Linked DNA regions of Oryctolagus cuniculus. The protein of the gene in region 3 interacts with the protein of the main gene of each other region in a pairwise test. Links are inferred from orthologs where the notes say so. Each region holds a gene or a part of one and is shown on either strand. Other genes may lie near its edges.

Region 1 (3,648 bases), on a different chromosome or scaffold from region 3:
TGACACCCTAGTGGCTGAGGGCGAAAGGTCCCCTCAGCACCCGGACCCCAACACCTGGGACTGCCAAAGCCTGGGGGGCTCCGAGGGAGAGCCCACCGTGGCCCACTCCGCAGGCCGCCCTTCCTCGCCCCCCCCCCCCCAGCTCCCAGGGTGTGGGTGGCAGTCCAGGGCCCTCCACGCCCACTGCATCCCGTCTTCCCACGGGGCTCTGCCGGGCTGCCTCCACCCCACTTTAGAGGACACCCATCACTCTAGCCCGCAGCCCACAAGGCTGCCATTTTAGCCTGGTCGTCTCCCTGAAGACCCTGGTCCCCTGTGTGGGGGGAATGTGATCCAGCCCCCAGAGGCACACACAAAGGTGAACAGGCCGAGCCCTGCACCCCCGGTGCAGGGGTGTAGGCAGAGGGCCAAGGGCGTGGGTGCACCCCAGGGGCTCCGCCACAGGCCGCAGCTACAGCTGGCCCAGGGCCTGCCGGGATCCTGGGGGCTGGGCGCAGACGGGATGTTCACACCACCTCCCAGCCAGCTACAGCCGGCATCAGAGAACGCTCAGGGCTGGGGACGGGTGCCACAGGGCAGCGGAGTGGCCGTGGCGTGAGCCCTGCACCCAGACGGAGTCTCCACTGTGGCCCCGGGTCTGTGGGGAGCCGGCTGTACTGGGGCTGGCATTGCTACAGCCTTCCCGGCACTTCTCAGCGCTCCCGCTGCGCGCCAGCCACACTGGGCAGCAGGGAGCGGGAGCCGTGCGGGCCCCGCGCCCGTTCCCATCCGAACGTCGGGGGCTGGTGGGGACGAGGCGCGTCTGCCGGCACCGAGGCACAGGACACCCGGGGCTGAGGGCACAGCCGGCACCCCGAGAGCCGGGGAAGAGAAGCGGCTCCGGCCCACCCGGCCTCTGGGGACCACGGGGCGCACGGGGCGCCCGGGGCGGCGGCAGCACAGCAGGCGAGGTGAGCCCAGCCCCAGTTTATTAGAAAAGGTGTGGACAGAGCTGCGCGGCCAGGGCAGCCCCCCCAGCCCCGCCCACCCGCCGCCTGTAGTGCTTCCGGGGCACCCTCACGCCCGGGCAGCAGGGTCCCGGGTGCGCGCTGCTCCGCCCCCGCTCCCTGATAGATTTATTGCACTTAAGAAAGAAAGCTCTGGTCCTCCACTCCCAGCCCCCCGCCCCCCGCCCCGCCTGGGGCTGATGTAGGAACCTCAGTGCCCCCACGCCACGCCTCCTGCCTGGTGCTGCGCCCGCTCACGGGGACCACCCACCACCACGGGCAGGCCCCTCCGCCACAGGGCCCGGCCCGGCGGCCCGACGGCCTCGCAGGCGCCGCCTCCCGTCCTCCTCCTCCCGGCCACCCCCAGCCGTGTCCAGTCTCAGAGTGAGGGGCACATAAATACAAGTGAAGTCAGGGCGGGGCCTCCCGTGGCTCCTGCGCCGGTAGTGTCGTGGGCTCCCGCCCCTGGCGTCCTGGGCCCCGGAACGCGGCGAGGACGGTGAGCAGATTCTCACGGCTCTGGCCTCAGCTCCTCCCAGACCGAGCGGAAGAAAGGAACTTGGGGAGAAGCCAGGCCGCGGTGAGCGCAGAGCCCGCCCAGCCGCCCGCCCCGGCCCCGCCCCGGCCCGCCGCCTCACCTAAAGTGTCACAGTGTCTCCTGCCCCGCCCCCGCCCCGCCCCTCACCTAAAGTGTGTCTCCTGCCCCGGCCCGCTTTTGGCCCCGCCCCGCCCCCGCCCCTCACCTAAAGTGTCACAGTGTCTCCTGCCCCGGCCCCCTCTGGCCCCGCCCCCGCCCCGCCCCTCACCTAAAGTGTCACAGTGTCTCCTGCCCCGGCCCGGCCCCGGCCCCTCACCTGAAGTGTCTCCCGCCCCGGCCCCGCCCCGGCCCGCTCTGGCCCCGCCCCCTCACCTAAAGTGTCAGTCTCCTGCCCACGCCCCGCCCCTCCCTGGCCCCGCCCCCGCCTCCACGTAAAGTGTCTCCTGCCCCGGCCCGCTCTGGCCCCGCCCCCTCACCTAAAGTGTCAGTGTCTCCTGCCCCGGCCCCGCCCCACTCTGGCCCCGCCCCGCCCCTCACCTAAAGTGTCACAGTGTCTCCCGCCCCGGCCCCGGCCCTCCCTGGCCCCGCCCCCGCCCCGCCCCTCACCTAAAGTGTCAGTGTCTCCTGCCCCGGCCCCGCCCCTCCCTGGCCCCGCCCCCGCCCCGCCCCTCACCTAAAGTGTCACAGTGTCTCCTGCCCCGGCTCCTGACTGGCCTCCAGAAGCAGCTGTTCCAGCTCCTTCTCGCTCTCGGGGCAGCTCAGCTCTGCGGGCGAGGCCGGGCAGGGGGCTCCGGTCAGGCGGCAGCGGGCCAGCCGCAGGCCCGCCTGTCCCCACCAGAGACTGGGCAGCAGGTGCACAGCCCCCACCCCGGGGAGGGCGGCGGGCAGGCAGCAGGCCCCAAGCCCCACCTTCCCTGCCCCTTCAAGGGGCCTCTAAGCGACAGGCCGTGCTGGCACCGGGCCTCACCGTGGTCCAGGCTGCGGCTGCCCGCCTTGGCCTCGGGCCCCGGGGGCGGCTCTGGGGGCAGTGCGAGGGCAAACTCGGGCTTCAGGCCGTTGGGCAGCGGCGGCCCTGGCTGAGGCGTCTCCGGCTGCGGCTGCGGCTCAGGCGATCCTGGGTCCTGGCGGCCGTCGCCCTCAGCTGGCGGCAGCACAGGGGAGGAGGGGGAGGAGGGTGGGGAGGAGGGTGGGGAGAGGTGGGCGGGCGGCACAGGGGGCTCGGCCCTCTCGGGAGGACTCTCCACCCGGGTCACCACGAACACCTTGTGGCCCCGGCCCGGGCTGGACACGGAGATGCGCTGCTCAGAGGGGGAGGAGGGGCTCCCTGGGGGGCTCCTGTCCCCAGGGCCCAGGGAGTCTGTGGGGGGCACCAGGGCAGGGCAGGGGGTCGAGGGACTCTGGTCTCCGCCGGCCTCGTCCCTCTCCCCGTCTTCCTCCTCGTCTTCCCCCTCAGAGTCTGAATCCGAGTCCGAGTCCGGGCCGGGCCCGGGGCCCGGGGCCCCGTTCTGCGCCGCGGCGGGCGGCGGCGGCTCGGTGACGGTGATCTCGGGCATGGAGGCCGACAGCTGCGGCCGCTGCTCCTTCTCCTCGCGCTCCCGCGCCAGCACGAAGTTGCGCTTGCAGCCGTTCTGGATCTCGGCCAGCAGCGCCTTCTGGGTCTCGATGAAGCTCTTGACCTGCGGCAGAGTGGCCTGGCTAGGGCTCCGGGCCCCGCCGCCCGCCCGCACGCCCCGCGGCCCCCGAGGAGCCCCGCTCACCGCCTCCTTCTTGGGCTCACGGTCCAGGTCCAGGCGCAGCAGGGAGTGGTTCACCTTGAGGGCCAAGGACAGCGCCATGAGCCCGCCCGTCTTGATCTCGTTCTCCCGGAGGTCCAGTCTCAGGAGGCGGGGGCTCTCGGCGATGAACTCCGCCACCGCCACCGCGCCTGCGAGGGGGACCGCAGGGGCTGGCCACGGGCCCCGTGCCTGGCAGGCCGGCCCCGCGCCCCCCGGCCCGGCCCAGCCCGGCCCGGCGCCCTACCCTCGCACGTGAGCTTGGTGGAGGCCAGGCCGAGGCGCAGCACGCTGCGGTTGCTGATGAGCCCGTTCTTGAGGTTCCGCACACCCTCGTTCCCGATGGGGTTGT
Region 2 (3,476 bases), on a different chromosome or scaffold from region 3:
AGCCAGGCCTTTGTTACATGTTACATGCCTACTGTGCCAGCAAGTGCCTGGCACGTGACCTGAGGCATATCCGAAAGTTCTGTCCCAGGCCTTACCGCTGGGGAGGTGGGAAAGGGCTCTGGAGCGAGCTTACCTCCCGAATCCACCTTTGGTGTGCTCAGCCCACACCGTCTCCACTGCTGTATTCCTGTTTGTAAAATGGGAACGGGAAGTGCCTTCAGAAGGCTCTGAAGCAATGCGACCGACAGACAGTACTACGCTGGCACCTGGGAAAGAACTAGGCCTATTTAATGCCTGAGGAAAGGCTGAGCAGTGCCTTTGTGTGGCCTGGCCCATGGCGCCTCCCTCGTGGTGCACACACACCTGAATTCTCATTCTCTCTCTCTCGTCCCTTCCAAGGAGCCTCCCTGGCCCCCTTCAGGAAACAGTCCCCTCAAGCATGAGGGGGTCACTCCCTTAGGACTCAGGAGTAACAGGCAACACTGGAGAGCTATGGTGTCTCGTTACTAGGAAAGCACCAACGCCACGGTTTTGAAATTACTGGAATTTTATTTGCCTCAGGCTTATGACTTGCAACCAAAGACATTGTGCAAAGAAAGCAAAGATTAAGTACACTTTAGGGAGAAGGAGACGATACACATCGGTAACATAGGAGATCAGGTTGACCAAAAAAGCCATCCAGTACACTATATAGATTGCAATATTCAATAGCGTTTTCAACAAAACTTTTTTTGAAATCAAGAGCAAAAAAAAAATTTAAGCAATGTTTACAGTAGACATAAATCTTATACAATTCAAAAAGCATTGTTTTCAGATCATAGAGCATAAAATGGAAAAATGTCTATGCAGGTGAAATGTGACTACTGTACATTTATCACCTATTAAAGTTGCTTATATGTACCACAGTGTAAAAAAAAATACCGAACAAATAAAAACCTGGAAAATTGCCTGATGAAAAATAAAATAACCAGTGGCTTTTAATGGCTTCTCCTGGTTATCAGTGCTACAAAAGACAAAAATCTTCTCATCTGAACGGGTGATAAAACCAGGCACAATCAAACTATTACCAAATTAGACCCACCCATAGAAATATACTATCCACCCACATATTTTCCATCAAAAGATTGGTTTGTTTTTAATCTTTGAATCTTTGAGGCCCATTTGGTCACAATATGTTACAAATGTTGTGTGTGTGTGTTTTTACACCATGATATCATATGTTTGTCTGGCACTATCCTAAAGCTAGTTTATAGATGAGGATGATGACAGGGCCCAGTGCCACTATGACAAGTAGGTTCACTGGGCAGAGAGGGGAAGGAAGGAAGTCAGTTTTACCAAGGAAAAAAGGTCCAGACTGTTCATTCATCATCAGTCCCGCTTGCTTCCGACTGTTCCTAGAAGGAAAAACAAGAGGAAATGAAATAAAATCCCAGGAACGAGAGGAGACACCTTAATAAGCCATGGGCAGGCAGAGAAAGAACAAACGGCCTTTGAGAAACAGCGGAGGCTCCACATCTTTCTGCAGGAAGACAGAAGCACACCCAAGAGGCACTGACAGCAGTAAGGCCAAGAAGAGGGCTTGTCATTAAAATCCCAATGCCACACGCACCCCCACTTTTGCTAGTGGGTGCTCCCCTTCAGTCTGGGTTTACAGGTTTGTGGCTAAGTACTCTGTGTTTTTAGCCCTATGCCTTGGAAGATACATGGGAAGGAAAAACATCATGTATTTCCTGTCTGCTCCACTCGTAAGTGGTATGAGGAAAACACAGGGCTTTCAATGCATTTGAAAACAACTGTGCCCAGTGGTTAAGGCTGGTGTAAGATGATGACTCTGAAACTTACCATCATACTAACATGGACATGAGTTCCCAGAAAGAAAAAAAAAAATTGGCAGGGAAAGTAGAAGGAAGGTAGGGCAGGTTCAAATGCCACTGTCCTGTGCTGTGCAGACTTGGTCTGATTTCAGCTCTGCTGGTCACTTGCTAGATGACCTGCAGCAAAATGGCTAAATCACTCTCATGTTTTGAGAGTGGCAGCACACGATGCTGGGATAAATATGTACCAATACAGGAAGGCACCTATTTCCAGGCCTCAATCAATGCTCCCTGAGGTTTTTCAAATATTAAAAAAAAAAAAAACCCTTAGGTGCTTAAAAAGTCATTTGGGTTTTCATATGGCACCTTACTGAGCAACTCAAGTCCAAAACTCCGACATCCCAACACCTTTTCTCATTCTTCCATCTACTATATACAAGGCAGCACGACAGGCGTGATATACAAAATATGAATCGGCCATGGAGAAAACTCAATTTCTAAGATGAAAAACTACAAAATCGAGTTCTCTTCTCCCCTTTATTTTCTGCAGACTACTGAAGCAATGCACAGAGCCCCCAGATCTGTGGTCGAAGTCCTGCCGCTGTGTTCCCGTCCTTCAGGGATGGCATCTCGCCCATCGACTTTGTCACCCACAGGTGAGAGGGAGCAAGATGCCAGCACTGCACTCACGTTCTCATCCTGCTCCTCGTCGCTGTCAAAGTCGCTCACGACAGGCTTGGCTTTTCCTCGATTTGGCCTTTTCTTCCCTTTTCCTTTGTCTCGGCTTTTCTCATCTTTTTTATTGAGCTTGATTTTCACCTTAACCGATTTCGCTATGCAAGAACAAACGAAAGAGCCATCAGTGAGGAGACACGCAGCAATGCTTTTCACGAACCAGTGACGAGGCGAGCAGCCACCGATGACTGGCCACATGGTCAGGGTGCCTAGGAACTTCCCAGCTCCTGCCGTCCTGTCCAGTCGGTGGCCCCACACACGCACGCCTCTCTTTGGCAGATGAACGCTGTCACAGTACACAGGCCACGCGAGGGAAGGTGGCCTCCCAGGCAGGGTCCTTCTTTCCGGGCTCCTGCAGGCAGACGGCGGGAATGGGAAGCGCCTTTCCTATTTCAGGGAAGTGTTCAGGATGCATTTAATGGGGGGAAGGCTGCAGAGGATGCGTGCAGATCACTCTAGCAGATGGAAGCAGAAGGAAAATACCAATAGTTGAATAATACTTTTACCACAGGAAGTAAGAGAGTAAACACTCCTCTCCCTCAGCCTATTATTTCTAGGGCGGTGGGGAATGTGTGACAAAGGTGCTTCAGCCAGTTCATGGAACAAGGCATTAAAGGATAAAAATCTGTGAAATGCATGCATTTTTCTGCACACTTTCTGAAGACCTCTCCTATACCTGAATTACTTATGTACTTATCCCAATAGGATCTTTGTAGCTGGTTATATTTCACATATGTGGGATGAGTGTACCCATCAGCTCATGCCTACCTTCCTCAATGTTTGTACCACCTGAAAAGACCCCCTTGTATGACATGCTATCATGTACTCAACCGGTCCCCTCGGGCTGGAGTGGCCAGCTGGTTTTTGCCTCTATGAACAAACTGCTGTAAAGCTCTCGTCAGTAGCTGGAGGTGGTGTGGTGAACGC
Region 3 (3,648 bases):
TGGAAAAGAAACCCCTCGAGACAGGATGTTTCTGTGGGAGAAACAAATGATTTCAGAAGTCCACTGATTAGAACTGTGCAGGACCAGTGATTAGGGACCTTGTAGGGCCAGCTGCACCACTCCCTCAATGTAATGCAGTAATTTTAGCAGGTGGTTCATTTGGGATCGTAAAGGTAGGGGAAGGAACTTCCAGCTAAGGGAATGAGCCTGGGAGACTGCTGGGTGATATCTAGTAACTATCTGTGTTCAAGGCATTGTAGAGCTGCTCCAGTTCAAACTGGCTGCACATTAGACTCCCTGAGGAGCTTTAAAACAATGCTGATGTATGGGCCCCTGGAAATTTTGATTCACTTAGTCTAGGGCAGAGCTGATGCAACAAAGATTTTTTTTTTTTTTAAACTCCAGAGGATTCTAATATATAGCTAACCAAGGTCAGGAATCAGTGAGCTTGACTACCGTAACAATGGTTAAAAAACTTCTCTGTGCTCTCGTGTGCTGCAAGTAGTTTGTTTCTAATTCTTACAAATTGCCTTTCAGTCTGGTGATGAAAATAGCAGGATCAAAGTATAAACATGCTTTCAGACTGATAAGAAATGACTGCGGGTACACATTTGACATCGTGGTTGGGACAGTGCCTGGGACGCCCATATCCCGTATCAGAGTGCCTGAGTTAGAGTTCCAGCTCTGCTCCAATTCCAGCTTCCTGCTAATGCTTGCCCTAGGAGGCAGCCAGTGATGTCTCCAGTGGCTGGGTCCCTGCTCCTCATGTGAGACACCCAGATGAAGTTCCAGCTCTGTCTATTGTAGATGTTGGGGAATGAGTCAGCAAATGGGAGGTTGCTCTCTGCATCTATCTATCTATCTCAGATAAATAAAAACCTTTAGTTCTCATTTAGCTTATATGTTATAGTTTTTTGTTAAAAACCAGATATATCCTGTGTTGATATTTGGTTAAACATATGAATACATGAAGACTTAAATAAGAATAATAAGAGTGTTACATGTTTACCAAGTGCAAGTATGTATTCACTTTTGAGTTCTTAGTCCTTGGGCTTTGCCTTTCATCTTTGGACATCAGACTATTTCTAGAGTTTTCTAATATGCTGGAGTTGTACGGGATTATAGTATTCCTGTTTTGCAGCTGCATAATACAGAGATCTGGAGAAGCAGCCTGATCTGAAGTCATGTAACATGGAGCTCTCAAAATAGCTGGTGTGTGCAGAGTGTTTGGAGAAGAAAGAGTTACTGGGTCAGGTTAAGCGGCTAAGTTTTTGCACGTGCTTACTGCTCCCTATTGTAGAATCATTTCGAACTGTCTCTTTAGATCAGCTTTTACCAGATGATCATCACAGCTTCATCTTTGTCAGTATTGGCACCTGTAGATTCTTAGAAACCGATCAGTTTAACTCCAAATGAAACAGATGGAGTGTTCCTGAAATGTGCTTAGCAGAAAGCACTGGTACCTGTACCTGAATTTGAGTTCGGAGCTCTCTTTTATCTTAAAATGTCATATGATTTACAAGTCATGCTCAAACGTTTTCTCTTGGCTCGTAACTCTTTGCTTCCATTGAGCCGGGTCGTGGCAGTACGTTGTAGTGATTCACAGTGTTTGGAGCAGGTTTTTTTCCTGGGTGTTCTGCTGCTTCTAGGACTTTAAGGTGCTCCAGAGCCTGCATTTGGTAACCTTTAGATGGAATGTGAGATTTATTTTGGCGTGCTTCATCCTTGAGGGAGCCTCGCTTCAGTTTTGTTTGTACATTGCATAGACAGACCAGGGATAAGTTTCCTAAGTTAGACACAAGTGCCTGTACCGTATTTTTGTTTATTGTTCACAGTTGGAACACAAAACAGACAACAACCCCCAATTTCCCTTATATGCTCCCAGCGAACTGGTGTCTCCCGCAAGAGAACTAAAAAGAAAAAAGTGCCCCCCAAGACTGTTGAACCTCTCACTGTGAAACAGAAGCCCAGCGTGTTAGAAATTGAGAAGACGATGACAGCAGTGGCCTCTGAGCAGGCGGGGCTCCAAGCCACTGAGCACACCTCCACCGGGGAGAACCGGGTCCTGGGATTCGGCATTGTTCTCGAATCGCCTGCCTCAGATGTAAGTTGATAACCTTCTGGCTGCTGACTCGAACGTGATGTAACCGCCAGGTATTTTAGTATTAATACATTCTCCCCTGGACTAGTTCTCTCAAGACAACTAGAGAAACTTGCAGAATACATGTGGAAGAGAGGAAACGAAAACTCACAATTTCCTTGTCTGGAATTGTCTTTTCTGAATATTTTATGCTGTATTTATTTAAGCATGTTTCCATTCTTTATCTTTGGAAGAAGAAGGGTGAGGGCATAAATCATCTGCTCGCTAATTTCTTTAACATTTTTAATTTCTAAGTGGCAGTTTTCAATTTCCTCAATGTGGAGAACTAAAAGCACATAATTAAATCCTTAGTAGATGGACATAAATGAACAGAACCATACAGATAAGGTCATACCTTTCTGGAAACACAAACTAATAATAAAAAAGGAGCAGTAGTACTAATTCTATTTTATAGATGCAAGCTACACTGCTAATTAGGTGGCAGTGCCATGCCATTTCCTTCGTGTAATGATAGGTTAACGCTCTGCAAAGGTTCTGCTATTTTAATATCATAGTCAGAGTGTTGTTGCAGTCCAGGATGTTGGATTACACTTGAGATAACCATCTGACTTGCCATTTTGTCTTCATAGGACCATAAATGAATTTCTTTCATTACATGCTACATTTGCAACTGCATACTCCATTGACAGTATCTTTATCTAAGTGCATTTATGTTTCAACCCCAGCTTGTTGGGAGAGTTCTTAAAATAAACAAGAAAGAGTGATCTATTATTATCAGATTGCATAGGATGAGAATCCTGCTGAGAACTCCCACAGCCTATATAGGATTAGAGTTGGGCCCTACCTTTTAGATTCAAATTAAGAAACAAATTGCTATTAAAAAAAAAAAAAGTCCTGTTTTAAATTTAGGAAGACAGCTTGCTAGCATATATCCACATTAGAACCTTAGTAAAGGGTGGTGACAAAAGTAATCATCTTGTGACCTTTTCAGACTGGAAAATCGTTTTAACTTTTATCCAAACATTGGTATTAAAGAAGTTTTTTTTTTTTTTTTTAAATCTATGAACACATTTACAACTGTTTGGATGTTTTTCAAGACTAAAATGTTAATTTAAGAAAATCATTACTGTTCTACCCTAGACCAGGCAGCTCACGTGAATATGTCACAATGTTATTGCAGCTAAGGCTCCGGTCAAACCTCGGGTGGACCATGCATTTGGAAAAAGATGGAGTATTCTGCAACACAGAATACATTCCTTCAGTCCTGAGCAGTTTTCATGATGCTTTTTTTTTTTTCCCCCTTAAATTTTCTAAGCCTTCTTTTCTGACGGGCATTGTTCTTTCAGGACAGTAATTTGAGATACATTAATCATTTCCCAAATGGGGTGCCCTGATGCTAGTAACCAGTCTTTCTCCTTTTCTTTTTTATTTTCAAGCTCAAACCATACTTCAGAGATAAATCGAAAAAGAGTTGAAAAAAAATCTTATATGTGTGTGTGTATGTCTGTGTGTGTTTGAAATAGAATACAATTTTTGTTAGCTTTATC

The links. The genes of interacting proteins can lie anywhere in the genome.
Region 1: the proteins of BEND7 (region 3) and PPP1R37 interact in binary tests that used the Homo sapiens proteins (3 or more experiments, as listed by UniProt). The two-hybrid records come from large-scale screens. The link is inferred for Oryctolagus cuniculus from reciprocal best matches to the Homo sapiens genes BEND7 and PPP1R37.
Region 2: the proteins of BEND7 (region 3) and SMARCA2 interact in binary tests that used the Homo sapiens proteins (3 or more experiments, as listed by UniProt). The two-hybrid records come from large-scale screens. The link is inferred for Oryctolagus cuniculus from reciprocal best matches to the Homo sapiens genes BEND7 and SMARCA2.

What each region holds. Positions count from the first base shown.
Region 1 is NC_091449.1:11,608,951-11,612,598, forward strand, and holds part of PPP1R37 (protein phosphatase 1 regulatory subunit 37), read right to left. Parts: coding exon 3,544-3,648; intron 3,449-3,543; coding exon 3,282-3,448; intron 3,201-3,281; coding exon 2,492-3,200; intron 2,289-2,491; coding exon 2,206-2,288; 3' UTR 2,198-2,205; intron 1,545-2,197; 3' UTR 1-1,544. UniProt on the Homo sapiens protein: Inhibits phosphatase activity of protein phosphatase 1 (PP1) complexes.
Region 2 is NC_091432.1:164,360,198-164,363,673, reverse strand, and holds the end of SMARCA2 (probable global transcription activator SNF2L2), read right to left. Parts: intron 2,648-3,476; coding exon 2,505-2,647; intron 2,471-2,504; exon of another isoform or gene 2,365-2,470; intron 1,395-2,364; coding exon 1,359-1,394; 3' UTR 530-1,358; downstream 1-529. UniProt on the Homo sapiens protein: ATPase involved in transcriptional activation and repression of select genes by chromatin remodeling (alteration of DNA-nucleosome topology).
Region 3 is NC_091444.1:69,190,509-69,194,156, forward strand, and holds part of BEND7 (BEN domain-containing protein 7), read left to right. Parts: intron 1-1,835; coding exon 1,836-2,104; intron 2,105-3,648.